Caenorhabditis elegans: one gene and its partner. The protein of the gene in region 1 purifies or fractionates together with the protein of each later gene. This does not show direct contact. Each region holds a gene or a part of one and is shown in the gene's direction. Other genes may lie near its edges.

Region 1 (6,269 bases):
CGATATCTAAAATTGAACACCGTAGGGCATGTGATTTTTCCAGATTCGCCGATCCTTCGAGCATGACGACCCTCAGACAAAGCTAAGCGACGATCTCATTTAAAAAAATATACGTTTTTTCCAATTTTCTGATAATTTTAAAATTCACAGTTTGTTTTCAGGCTTTTTTCAAATTTTTCTAAAAAGGGCAGTCTTTCTTTTTTTTTTCTTTTTGTTGGATGCACAGAGCCCTCCAAAACCTCAGGTTTTGCGGTTTCTTGAAGCAAATCATGTTGATAACTGTATCCCTGTACTGTGATTACTGAAGAAAAAAAAACAAATATAATAATATATCATGGAGTTGGTTATTTGAAAAGTTAAAATAAAGTATTGAACTTTTACAAATGTCTGACTGAAAATAGTTTGAAAGTATTTAGAAGAATGAAGCTGAAGGTGTTCTAGACCGCTCTCCGACAATCGTATCGTTGTTCAAAGAAGATCAGCGATTTTCGATCGAAGAGGAGAATAAGACTGAAGGTGACGGAGCTAACTACGAGAATGAGGTGAATATGTGCTGTTCCACTCGGACAAAGGTTACCGGATGTCTAATTTTTTGGTCGCAAAGATGAATCAAATGTGAAAACTCAAAAAATACAAGTAACCATTCATTCAAGGAAAAAAATTTTGGGAACTCGATAGTAGATCACAAGAGCGGGCTGGTAATGGCAGAACATTACAGGAAGTATTGACTACGGTTGGCAGATTGCTGAAAATAAATTAGTTACGACTACAAACATTCGAACTTTATACCTTTTTCACCAGCTTGAAATTGCCTTCCTTGGAGTTCTTCTTCTCGTGTCCCTTTGTTTCCTTGCTCTCTTTCGTATCGCAACTGTCCTTGTTACCATCTTTACTGTTCTTTCTCACAACGGGAATCGACAGAAGTGGTTCATTTGGAAGAGAGATCATGCTGATATTGTCATTCTGGGCAGCAGTTTCCTCTTTGATCTCAACTTTTTGCGTCGCCTGAGTTTTTTGGTCTTCCATATCAGGTCCATCTTCCGAAGAAGATCTTGTTTCGAGTGGAAGTGGATGATCTTTGCATTCTTTTGGATGTTCAGTCTTCGGAGATTTGTGCTCTTTGCATTCTTTGTCCTTTTTGATAGGTTTCAGAATCTTTTCGCAAATCTTTTCCATGCATTCTTGTGCTTTTTCTGCTGGAGAATGATGTGGAGTAGCTTCTTTTGGAACAACTGGAACAGGCTTGGCATCAGCTGGAATGATGTTGAGTGCTGGTGTGGATGGTGTTGTTGGTACGTGATCCACTTTTCCACGTGTCTGGATGAACTGCTGGATGTTCCAAGTGAGAAGCTCAACTCTCTGAAATATAATACATAAACCTTGCTTTCCACTGAAGTCACACTCACATCATCTAAATCCGAGTCATCCCAGTAGCCATTATCCTTTCCGTAGTTGATCAGAATCTGCACAAGTGCCATGTATTGAATGTCAACTTGAATACTTCCGGCTCGGCTGTCTTAAAAAACGTGATTAATAAAAATCATCATTTCAATATTAACTTACTTCTCAAGGCTCTACAAGTTCCCAGCAAATCCAGTTCTTTCCCATCCGTCAGTATTTGAAGACATGCTTCAATCGCAACAAAAGTGCCTGTTCGGCCAATTCCGGCGGAGCAGTGAACAGTGACTGGGCCGGAAGCTGTGCGCACAATGTAGAGCATTCGGAGCAAAGCCATCGTAGAGTTAGGGACACAACGGTCAGGCCTGAAAGTAATTCTATTATTATAAAGATTTTCAGTTTGAGTTTTCTGATTTTGGTTTTTCAATGACACTAAACCGAATGTTGTTCTGTAAAGATCAGTGGCTTACCATGACTTTGTATGCAAATGCTTCAAAATATGTTCCTTCCCATTGTCCACATTTCTAACTGATAATGTTCTTTTGATGATATTCGCATCCTTATCATCCTCCAATGAACACAGAATGGTCCATGCTCCGAAAGTCATTGCTTCTCCAGCTTTTTCCGGATAGTATTGGGCACATTTAGCCTTTCCGTCTTCCATCACCTCACATAGCATCACAATGTAGGCAGTCTTCGTGTGAACAACCATTCTCCAGAAATCAATGACAGTTGCTGCAGTGGCGCCTTGTGTCAAAATGAACGGAGCGTTCAAACCATTTACATAGTTTGCATGGATATAATCTCCATCACCACCATCACTGAGAATCACGCGTGTTATGTCATTGCAAACAACATCTGAAATATTAATTTTAATTCGATTCAAGTTCCTATATTTCATACCTTTATAGCGATTCTTTGTTGGGTTCGCGTCAAAGATTTTCCGTTCCATTGGCTGACCAGGATATGGTTTCACTTTTGTCATGAATTCGACTGAGTACTCTGGAGGATTCTTCTTGACAGCATCACTTGCAAACTTGAAGAAAACCTTCTTCTGTACATCCGACAGTGGATCGCCTTTTAACTGAAAATCATAAATTCGGATTGAGAAGTGCTTTCTCTTTTTATTGTACTTTCCACCCGGACGAGGTCTCTCAGTCTACCTGCACCCTTCCCGATGTATACGGGAATGTATAATAATATAATTAACGTCCAAAAAGTCCAAAAGTATTTACCGGGATTATGGCATGCGTTTTTTCGTTATTGAAGTGGATCTTCTTGTCAGGATTCCAGACCGGATGAGAACATGCTCGTTTCCGTTCGGTTCCTCTTTTTGGTTTTCTCCTTTTCTGGGTGCTTCCAACCTCTTCCTTTTTCTCATTGTGAAGAACTGAAAGAATTCAGATTTTTCTAAATAATACTGTATGATTAAACTCACGAAATCCCAATCTTTTCAGTACTCCTCCTTTCTTTTTATCCTTTTCATCAACTTTTTCGTCAGATGGCTTTTTCGCAAGGCGTCGAGATGCCTGTTGATCATCCTGCGAATTTCCACGTGTTCCCTTTCTTCGTTGCATTTTATTTCAGTTCACTGATCCGTTGATTGATGGATTACACTATCTCGGAACGATTCGTTTTTTTCGAGAAGCGTCGGTTTTATTTTGATTTCTTCGTTCGAAGCTGACGAAGACAAATGTAGAAATAATTCAACTTTCGACTAATCTCTGATATTGACAACTTTCAAATAAGGAGGGGGGGGGGGACGTGGAAGTTCAAATTAAAAAAATATATACATATATGTTGTTGTAATTGTATTTTACGTTTTTACGAAAATAACATTTTCTAAATTTCACATTTCTGAAATGCGTGAACTTTTATTTCTGCCAACGAACTTAAACAATCTTATTTACAAATCTACTACGACTTCGAACAATCAAATTTATTCCTGACTTTTCAAAAGTGAGAGATGGTAAAACCGGCAAATACTTCGTCTTCACTTATCACTAAAAGAGTTTTGACTCTCGGTAATAATGTCACAATTGATATATACGATCATCATTATTATCCAATGGTAAGTTCATTTTTAAAAACTTCTAATCTTTTGAAATTTTTCAGTGGTTTTGGATTGTAATTTCTGTTGGATTTGTCTTCTGTACTCTGAGCTGTGCTGTTTGGTTTATGTGTGCTATGTGGAGATTGAAAAGTAATATTAGAATATTCTAATATTCTGTGGAACTTTTCCTGTCAGGCTTTTGCTCAGATAAGATTTTCTTTGCTCTCAGAATCCTAGCTCTGGTTTAGGTGGTGCTTTGATATTTTTTGCAAAAGATCTCTAATGGGGTTATTTAAGTAATGTAGCAAAATGTATTTAAATACATTTGTGACCTCACAAATGTATTTAAATACACGTTTTTATATACTTGAATACAGTTGTGACGTAATTTTTCTACACTTTTTAATTTTCCGACACTACTTGAATAACCCCATAAGAAACAATCAAAATGTGTATGTTGGAATTTTAGAACTGGATGTTTTTCAGAGGGTAAAGAATGTAACCATCCATCGTTTGAAGCGCGTACCGTTGTGACAAAAGATGGAGAAGAGAAACCGGATCCCAAAATGGCTCAAAAATCAGAAAAGACTTGTAAAAAATTAGGTGCATTGGGTGAAGCTGAATCGTTGGCCAAGAGCTTCAAAAGTATCAGATCGAAAAAGTCGATGAAGTCTACAAAATCCAAGAAATCTGAAAAAGATGTAGGACATGATGATCATAAGAAGGAAGATGTTCATGGTGATCAAAAGGATGATAATAAAGATCGAAACGATGGAGGACGAGATTCTCATGTTGTTCAGATGGAACATAATTCTGAAGAGGAACACGAGCCGAGTGGATTTAAAAAGGTTTTTTTTAATCGTTGAATTTTGAAGGTACCTCAGATAAATCAAACCACGCAGGCAACGCGTCTAGACCACGCAGAAGCTGGCAGTCTTGAGCGTGGTTGTAGGCGTTGCCTGCGTGGTTTGGAGCGGCACCTGAGCCGCTTATCGTAGAAAAAGCTTTGATGAGCACAAAGAAAATAAGAAAATATTGCTGCCAACAATTGGAAACTTTTAATGAAATATTTTTACAGCTGGGCAAGTCTTTCTTCAACTTCAAAAAGTAGCAAACTCTCTTCACCTTCACCAAAGAATAGCAAATGTTGAATGCTCCAAACTTGTAGACTTATAGAACTGTAGAGCATCTTTATTTATGAATGAAACTGTTCACAAATGCCATTCTACTTATTTTAAACACCTTCTGAGCCAATTACCAGGAAAATTTCAAATTTTAAACTGCAATTTATATCCTCAACTTACTACTTTTTTTCTTGATTTTCACACGATATTTGAATTTTTCAATAAAATCATACAGCCGATTAAATAAATGAATGCCGTGAGTTCTTCCTGTTCAAAATAACAATCGAAATATGAATCTAAAATTCTGAAAAATCGTACTGCATTCAGTTTAATTTTCCATTATCAGATGATGAAACATATTTATTTCGAACAAAATTATTCATAGCCAACGATAAACTTTAGGAATCCGAAGTTAGTCTTCAAGATATCCCAGATCACATTGAAGAAATGGCTAAACTCTTCCCAAATTCCAGAGAAAACCTTGTTCACAAGCATCGGACGATAGGCACATAACTAATCTCGGAATTTTCGTCTGATAGCCAAACTCCTGTCATTTGGTTACATCGGATACTGTACTTATCAGACAAATCATGGCGGCGAACTGTTGAGAAATTCTGGAATTGAAACTTGTTTATAATATTTGAGATTCACAACAGCAAACATAATTAAAATTAGAAAACAACGAGTATTTCTCGAAATTTAAACAAATACTTTTAGAAGATCGGATTCTAACTCCATTCCTACACTTCAAACAAACTATATTTTCTTCTCTATAAAAAAGGCAACTAAATCAAAAGCTGCTTGAATTAGTGTCTTTTTTCATTCAACTCGATAAAATATTTACAGAAAAGACGTTTCAATCCGAGAGTTATCTGATAACTTCGATTTCAATGAGTTGCACATTTTTCAGAATCAGTGCCCCGGTGGCCGAGCGGTCGAAGGCGTGAGACTTATGATCTCATTGGGTTAAACCAGTCGCGGGTTCGAATCCCGCCCGGGGCAGAATATTTTTTCTCAGTTTTTCTAGCATGTGAAAACAGTTTACATTTGTTTTAAATTATTTAGCTTCCTGTTTTCAGATTTTTCAGGTTATGTAAAATATTTGCGGGTTGATAATTCTTTCTCAATAGTATATTTTGCATATTCAGTCCTACTCTACTCCTCCCTTCACTATCCCCTATCTAAATACTATCCATTCCAAGACAACAATTGATTTTTCTTTCAAAACTACAGCACTCCTACTTTTACTGAAGATTTCTTAAACTTACAACTCCATTGGTATAATATACAGAAGATCGATGTCTTGTAAAACGTGGATATAAACAAGTAATTGAAACTTGAGTACAATCATCTCCATAATCAATATCCAATGGTGCAAACTTTGGAATCTCACCAATCGACATATTCTGTTGTGCTCTCATTTTTGCATAAACTTCCGCATCCACTTGTTTCAGTACCGGACATTTACACATTACAGGGACCGATTCAGCTTGAACCAAAGAAATTATAAAAGCAACCAGAAATATAGAACCAATAGTCATGTTCAGTTGACAAACAGTAAATGATTTCAGGAAGGTATGAATATTTGCAATTGCATAATTTGAATATAATTTATAAATTATTCAAAAAACAGGGGCGGAGTTTTTTTTTCATTTATAGAACCACGAATCAAATTAGTTGTCGATCAAAAATCT
Region 2 (5,264 bases), on another chromosome or scaffold:
TTCGAATGTATAATGCGTTAACTGCGGTTCAAAGTCAATTGTCCAAGAGTGCCATGAGTAGGCATAAGATTGCTCTGAGAAGCCTGATAATGCAGGTACAGTGCTAAAAAGTAATAAAGCTCAAATTCCAATTCAAATTTCCAGTTCATGACTACCCCTGTCTCGTTTATCCCAGCATTCATGCTATTCGTCGTGACAAACTTTCCAACCAGATACTCACAAGGTTCGTCTCTCCACTGCATTTCGGGAAGAAATATGCATTTTTAGAGATTTCCCGGTACTCAATGATGATAGCAACTACACACTCCACGTTGAACTCATTGGTAGTCATCACAACGTATCCAGAGTTTAGAAAGATCTTCTGGAAACGGAATAATGTTATACAGTGAGTTAAATTTAGAGTTTGTGTTTTGGGACTCGTTTGCTAAAAAAATCTTTACAGAAGCTCTTTTCTGATATCATCCACGAGGCCGTCTGGTTCGAATCGGAACATTGTCTAACTTTTGCATCGGCACATCGGCATATGCCGACCTTTTTTTCGGCACTGTTCGGAATATTCACCAAAATTAATTTTTTAAACTCATAAATGCAAAGAAACTTCAAAAATTGATTAATATGTACGGAATTTATCATGTTAATTTCAATTTTACTAACTTCAATGGTAAAAGAATTTGATTTGTTTAAGAAGCTATTTAGTTTCTTTTCTAATGTGCCGAAGTGACGAGTGCCGATCGGCACAATGTGCCGACTTTTTTTTTTGAAAACGAAAGCACCAAAGTCATACAGCACAGGGCTGCCTTCTGTATCTGTGTATGAAACGGTATAAGGTCCGTCGATGGTGCACTGAATAAATTTTCCACCGCTTTTGGATTTATATACTTTGTTATCAAACTTAACAGTGTGTTAGTCAAGCTGAAATCATTTATTATTTTTAAAGCATTTCAATTAGTTTATTCCAGGTTTGAGCTCACTCAAGATGGACACTCATCGCTGGAATATTGTTAAATTAATCATGTTTTCACCTTTACCACTTACCACAATACAAAAAAGACCTTGGATTTCAGCCCATTAACAGTGTCCTCTTCGACCAGGCTGTTTGAAAAGTCCGATCCTCTATAGACAGCTCCTCTTGGATATTTTGTGATGTACCATTCATTATTTTCACAGATCACGCCGCATTGTGTAAAGATGTCAAATGGGCCGGCAGTACCAAGAACAGCTTGAACAGTCTGAACCAGGAATCTAGAAATTTTTACTGAAAGCATGGAAGACTCACTCCAAGGCCCGTAACGTCATCATCTGGCTTAGGAATTTCGGATTCTCTCCAACGAAAGGCAATTGTAGTATGAGTACCTGGCACGCACGTCGCATTCCGATTGCATCCAGCATTTTCCGTGTAAAATATGTGTTCTTCATCTATGTAGAAAAACGATTTGGTGGAGGAAAAGGTAGTAGGTAGTGCAAAAACTTACTTGTTATTAGATCAAGAAAGCTTGGACACTCACAATCGTCTTCGCATCCATATTCGTCTTCGCAGGCAACATAGCAAATGAGAAGTAGGAAAATGAGATATTGCTTCATTTCGACCATAGACAGTATAGTTTTGAGTGGCTTTTATACGGTTAGCTGATCAATAATCTTGTTAAGTGTTACTTTCCAAATGCAAATTAGAGTATTTAACCAAACATCAATGCTTGACTACTTCCGGCTTTGCGGAAATTTAAAGTTATAATTCAAGAATATACATAGACCATAATTTGAAAAGTTTAAAACTTTTTCCCATGGAAAGCAACACACCCAAGATTGGCTTACAAAAGTTTCATTAGTGATGAAAAGCGTGATAACTAAAGGGTAGGTAGGCGAATCCTTCTACCTACCTTTCTTGGTATAAGTTGGTCTGATGTCGACAAAATCTTTTTATCCGGCTCTATCTTAAAATGGCAACTGACCGAACATCTTTTGTGTTAATTAATCAAAATGTCTACAGTATTGATCTCTGGTGCTCCAACATCCTAGCTATTAACATATTAACAGATCAATTTACGAACCAACTCGGTGAATAAAAGGACAGACGTTTAGAGAATTGTTCACATGACAACATGAAAATCAAAATTTTTGCTTTTCTGGTCATATTTTTTTCGTGTTTCTGCATGGAACGTCTAGCATGTCAGAACCAGAGTTGCCCGTGCTCCAATCTCTATGACAACCTGAACGGTAAGCCAGCTGCTCTGACAGTTTAGTCGTAACTAGATGTATTCAGATGCAGAAAACACGGTATACTACGAGGGGCTAGGTTGCTCCAGAACCGTATACTGCACGGTCGGCTATTGGACGTGGCTAACTTTGTCCTGGGAGTTGTCCGACATACCCACTCCAAGTGACATTTACGAGGATACATTTGTGAGTTACAAGCACTTTAACACACCCTCAAGATTGATTACGTTTAGTTTGCTTTCACTTGGAATCATACAGACCCTATGGGGGTTTATGCCGGGGGTCCTATCACTGACCTGGTCTCTCTGTTGGGAATGCAGTGTGACCGCAGTACAAGCCAGTGGATTGTGACAAGATACCCATTTGGGTATTCCTATTTCAATCAAAACGATGAGAAGATTGTTATTGATGGGTACAGCGTGGAAGGCGTCAGATCAATAGTTTCGTCGACGGATTCACGATTTTCTTGGTACCCGTGAAATAATACGATTTAAAAAAATATATACAAGTTTCAGCGCAAATATGTGCAGATGTTCAGACCTGATGAGCTTGGTCGAGGGTATTTAAATTGGTGGGCTAGCTCTCAAGCCAACTTAATTGATTTCAGATTCGTCTGAAAATATTCTGTACACCTTTAATGGAAATCATTGCAGTAGCAATTTCACTTGTAATGCAGACTCCCAAACATTCATCCGATCTAGTTTTGACGGGTCGGAGATTCCTGGTATTGGTAATCGTACGGGTGCAATGGTAAGGGAAACCAGAATGCATCATCAACTTGACTAAACAATCTCAGCTGATTCCCACGATTCCCGAAGAAGATCAGCCAGAACACTCCTCTATAAACATTATGGTCGAACTCGGGATATATTGTCATGAAGGGGAATGGTATGTAACACAATATCCGTATGGAGTTACATACATGGATGATACTGGAACGAAATACATCACCGGAGAGGATTGGGGAGGGAAGAAATCTAAAGTTCTTGGGTTCAGATGGTAAATGATTTTGACTTTAGGTTATTTTGAATTTAACTGATTGTGAGTTTGATTTTTCAGTACAAAGTGGCCTTGAACTTCGTCGATTGTAGCAATAAATAATGTCCATGTAGACTATTGTTAAGATATCAATAAATACAATAGTCCTTCCGCACTAGACGCAGACCACATATGATGTGCAACTAATTTTATTTTGGCTTGTTAGAATGTAAGAATGTTGAAGACTGCAAAACTAATTGAGAAAATTTTGAAACACAACAGTAGTTTCTGGACAGGGCTGCCTTCTGTATCTGAATATGAATAAGGCCGCCTTTGAACCGCCAATAAGCCACTGAATATATTCTCCACCACTTTTGGTTTATATCTTTTGTTATCAATCCTAAAAGTGTGTTAGTCAAGCTGAGATCGTTTATTAATTTAATTTTTAAACGGTTCAAAAATTTGGAAAATGGGGGTTTTATTTCTGAAAGTTCTTGAAATTTGATATTATAGATCTGAGAATAAATTGTAGAAAGTCTTGAGTGGATAACATTTTTTTAACCTTTTTTTTGAGAAGTCGGGGGGGGGGGGCAGTACTAATAGAATACGGTTTAATTCAAAGTACACTGCATTCGTCATTATGTTCTTGAACAGAAAGCACACATAATTCAACAATCGTTTTAACAAAATTTCAGAAATTAAATCTTTCATCAAACAAATCTGTCTACTTTTTGACCACCTGTCAATTTTTACATATTCCGTAATAAAATTATGTTTTAAATTCAGAAAAGCTCAACATTTGCAATAAAATAGCTAGACAGTTCTGAAAGAAGAAGGCGATTATTATAGTACGTATTTCAAAAAAAAAAGGATCTTTCAGAAAATCCACATTAGTTTCGTTCTTGCGTCCCATTGGTCAACCGCGGAATTGAGAGATGATCTTCACTATTTTGTATTGTATTATTTTTTTAATGACGCCACGGGTGCCTGGGTCGTTGTAAGCGTGTAAAATACATGCAAATCTTCAACAAAAAACATTATGTTTTAAACATTTATATTAACGTTTTTGCAACGACATTGAACAATGAGTGTATGATAACCATTTATTACGACAATCGACACAATACACGACTTCTGTCCCTTTCACGGCCATTCTTTGCTGAAATTGGTATTTTATTTGTTAATGACGTAATTTAATTTCAGAGTACCAAGACATTGAGATAAAGGTGGATCTGACGTTGTCAATCTTTTCATTAACGACAATCTTTTTGCCTCTATTGTCGAAATAATAATACCCGAACGGGTATCTGGTAATGTACCAGAAATATGCAAAACATCTGTCATTGACAAGCGACTTCGTATCGCAGGCACATTGTATTCCCAACAGAGATACGAAATCAGGGTTAGTGGGCGGAAGTTGATTATAGAGCGTTCGATTCCACATTGAAGCATACTGAACTTGAAAAAATTAGCGTCTAATGCTTTGCGGAAATGTCAACGTTTGGCATTTTTTGTGACAAATCAAACTAAAAGACCTTTCAAATAATTGATGAATTATTGAAAAAGTATATATTTTTAATTTTTCTATAAAAAATTGGTTACTGTTCCAAAGTTGAGGGAAAAATACGGTAAGTGTTTTGAAAAACTGAAAAACGGAAACTTTTTTGAATAAGAATATCATTCATACTGGGGTGCACGGCAATCGAATTTCAGGCAATTTAGGTAATTTCGACAACTGCCGGAATTCCTGATAGTAGGAAATTCTAAAACCCAAAGTTGCAAAAATTGACGATTGCCGCGCATCGTTGAATCATAATCACGATTAGGCCATCTCTTATGTCACTCGGAAGACTCGGGAGGCCGGACCAACTTGCAACTGTATCCGCAACGGGGTAATGATTAGATGGGCATGTAGCACTTATAGTGCATCCCTTTCCCTCATTGTATAACATTGTGTCTCTTGAATAATCTGAAAATAGCTAGATGAAACATAAAGTAATGTAAACCTTATCTGCACGAATTACAATAGCTTACAATTGATTCTGCTGGTAAAGTTCTTGCACGGGCAGATT

What was found.
Region 2: the proteins of T22C1.9 (region 1) and T10D4.11 fractionate together in Caenorhabditis elegans (co-fractionation; one large-scale study listed by BioGRID). This does not show direct contact.

What each region holds. Positions count from the first base shown.
Region 1 is NC_003279.8:7,955,345-7,961,613, forward strand, and holds T22C1.9 (uncharacterized protein), read left to right. Parts: upstream 1-3,302; 5' UTR 3,303-3,364; coding exon 3,365-3,469; intron 3,470-3,513; coding exon 3,514-3,601; intron 3,602-3,937; coding exon 3,938-4,299; intron 4,300-4,529; coding exon 4,530-4,562; 3' UTR 4,563-4,814; downstream 4,815-6,269. Other genes in the region: T22C1.8 (Protein-tyrosine phosphatase), read right to left, coding at 713-745, 790-1,359, 1,407-1,516, 1,564-1,763, 1,869-2,256, 2,302-2,482, 2,634-2,788, 2,837-2,975; T22C1.12 (C6 domain-containing protein), read right to left, coding at 5,061-5,189, 5,844-6,116.
Region 2 is NC_003280.10:3,146,457-3,151,720, reverse strand, and holds T10D4.11 (CW domain-containing protein), read left to right. Parts: upstream 1-2,099; coding exon 2,100-2,214; intron 2,215-2,260; coding exon 2,261-2,400; intron 2,401-2,447; coding exon 2,448-2,683; intron 2,684-2,729; coding exon 2,730-2,773; intron 2,774-2,821; coding exon 2,822-2,964; intron 2,965-3,010; coding exon 3,011-3,213; intron 3,214-3,273; coding exon 3,274-3,289; downstream 3,290-5,264. Other genes in the region: T10D4.14 (G_PROTEIN_RECEP_F1_2 domain-containing protein), read left to right, coding at 6-95, 145-223, 268-385, 443-500; T10D4.1 (DUF19 domain-containing protein), read right to left, coding at 1,032-1,229, 1,277-1,416, 1,473-1,581; T10D4.15 (CW domain-containing protein), read right to left, coding at 4,956-5,161, 5,227-5,264.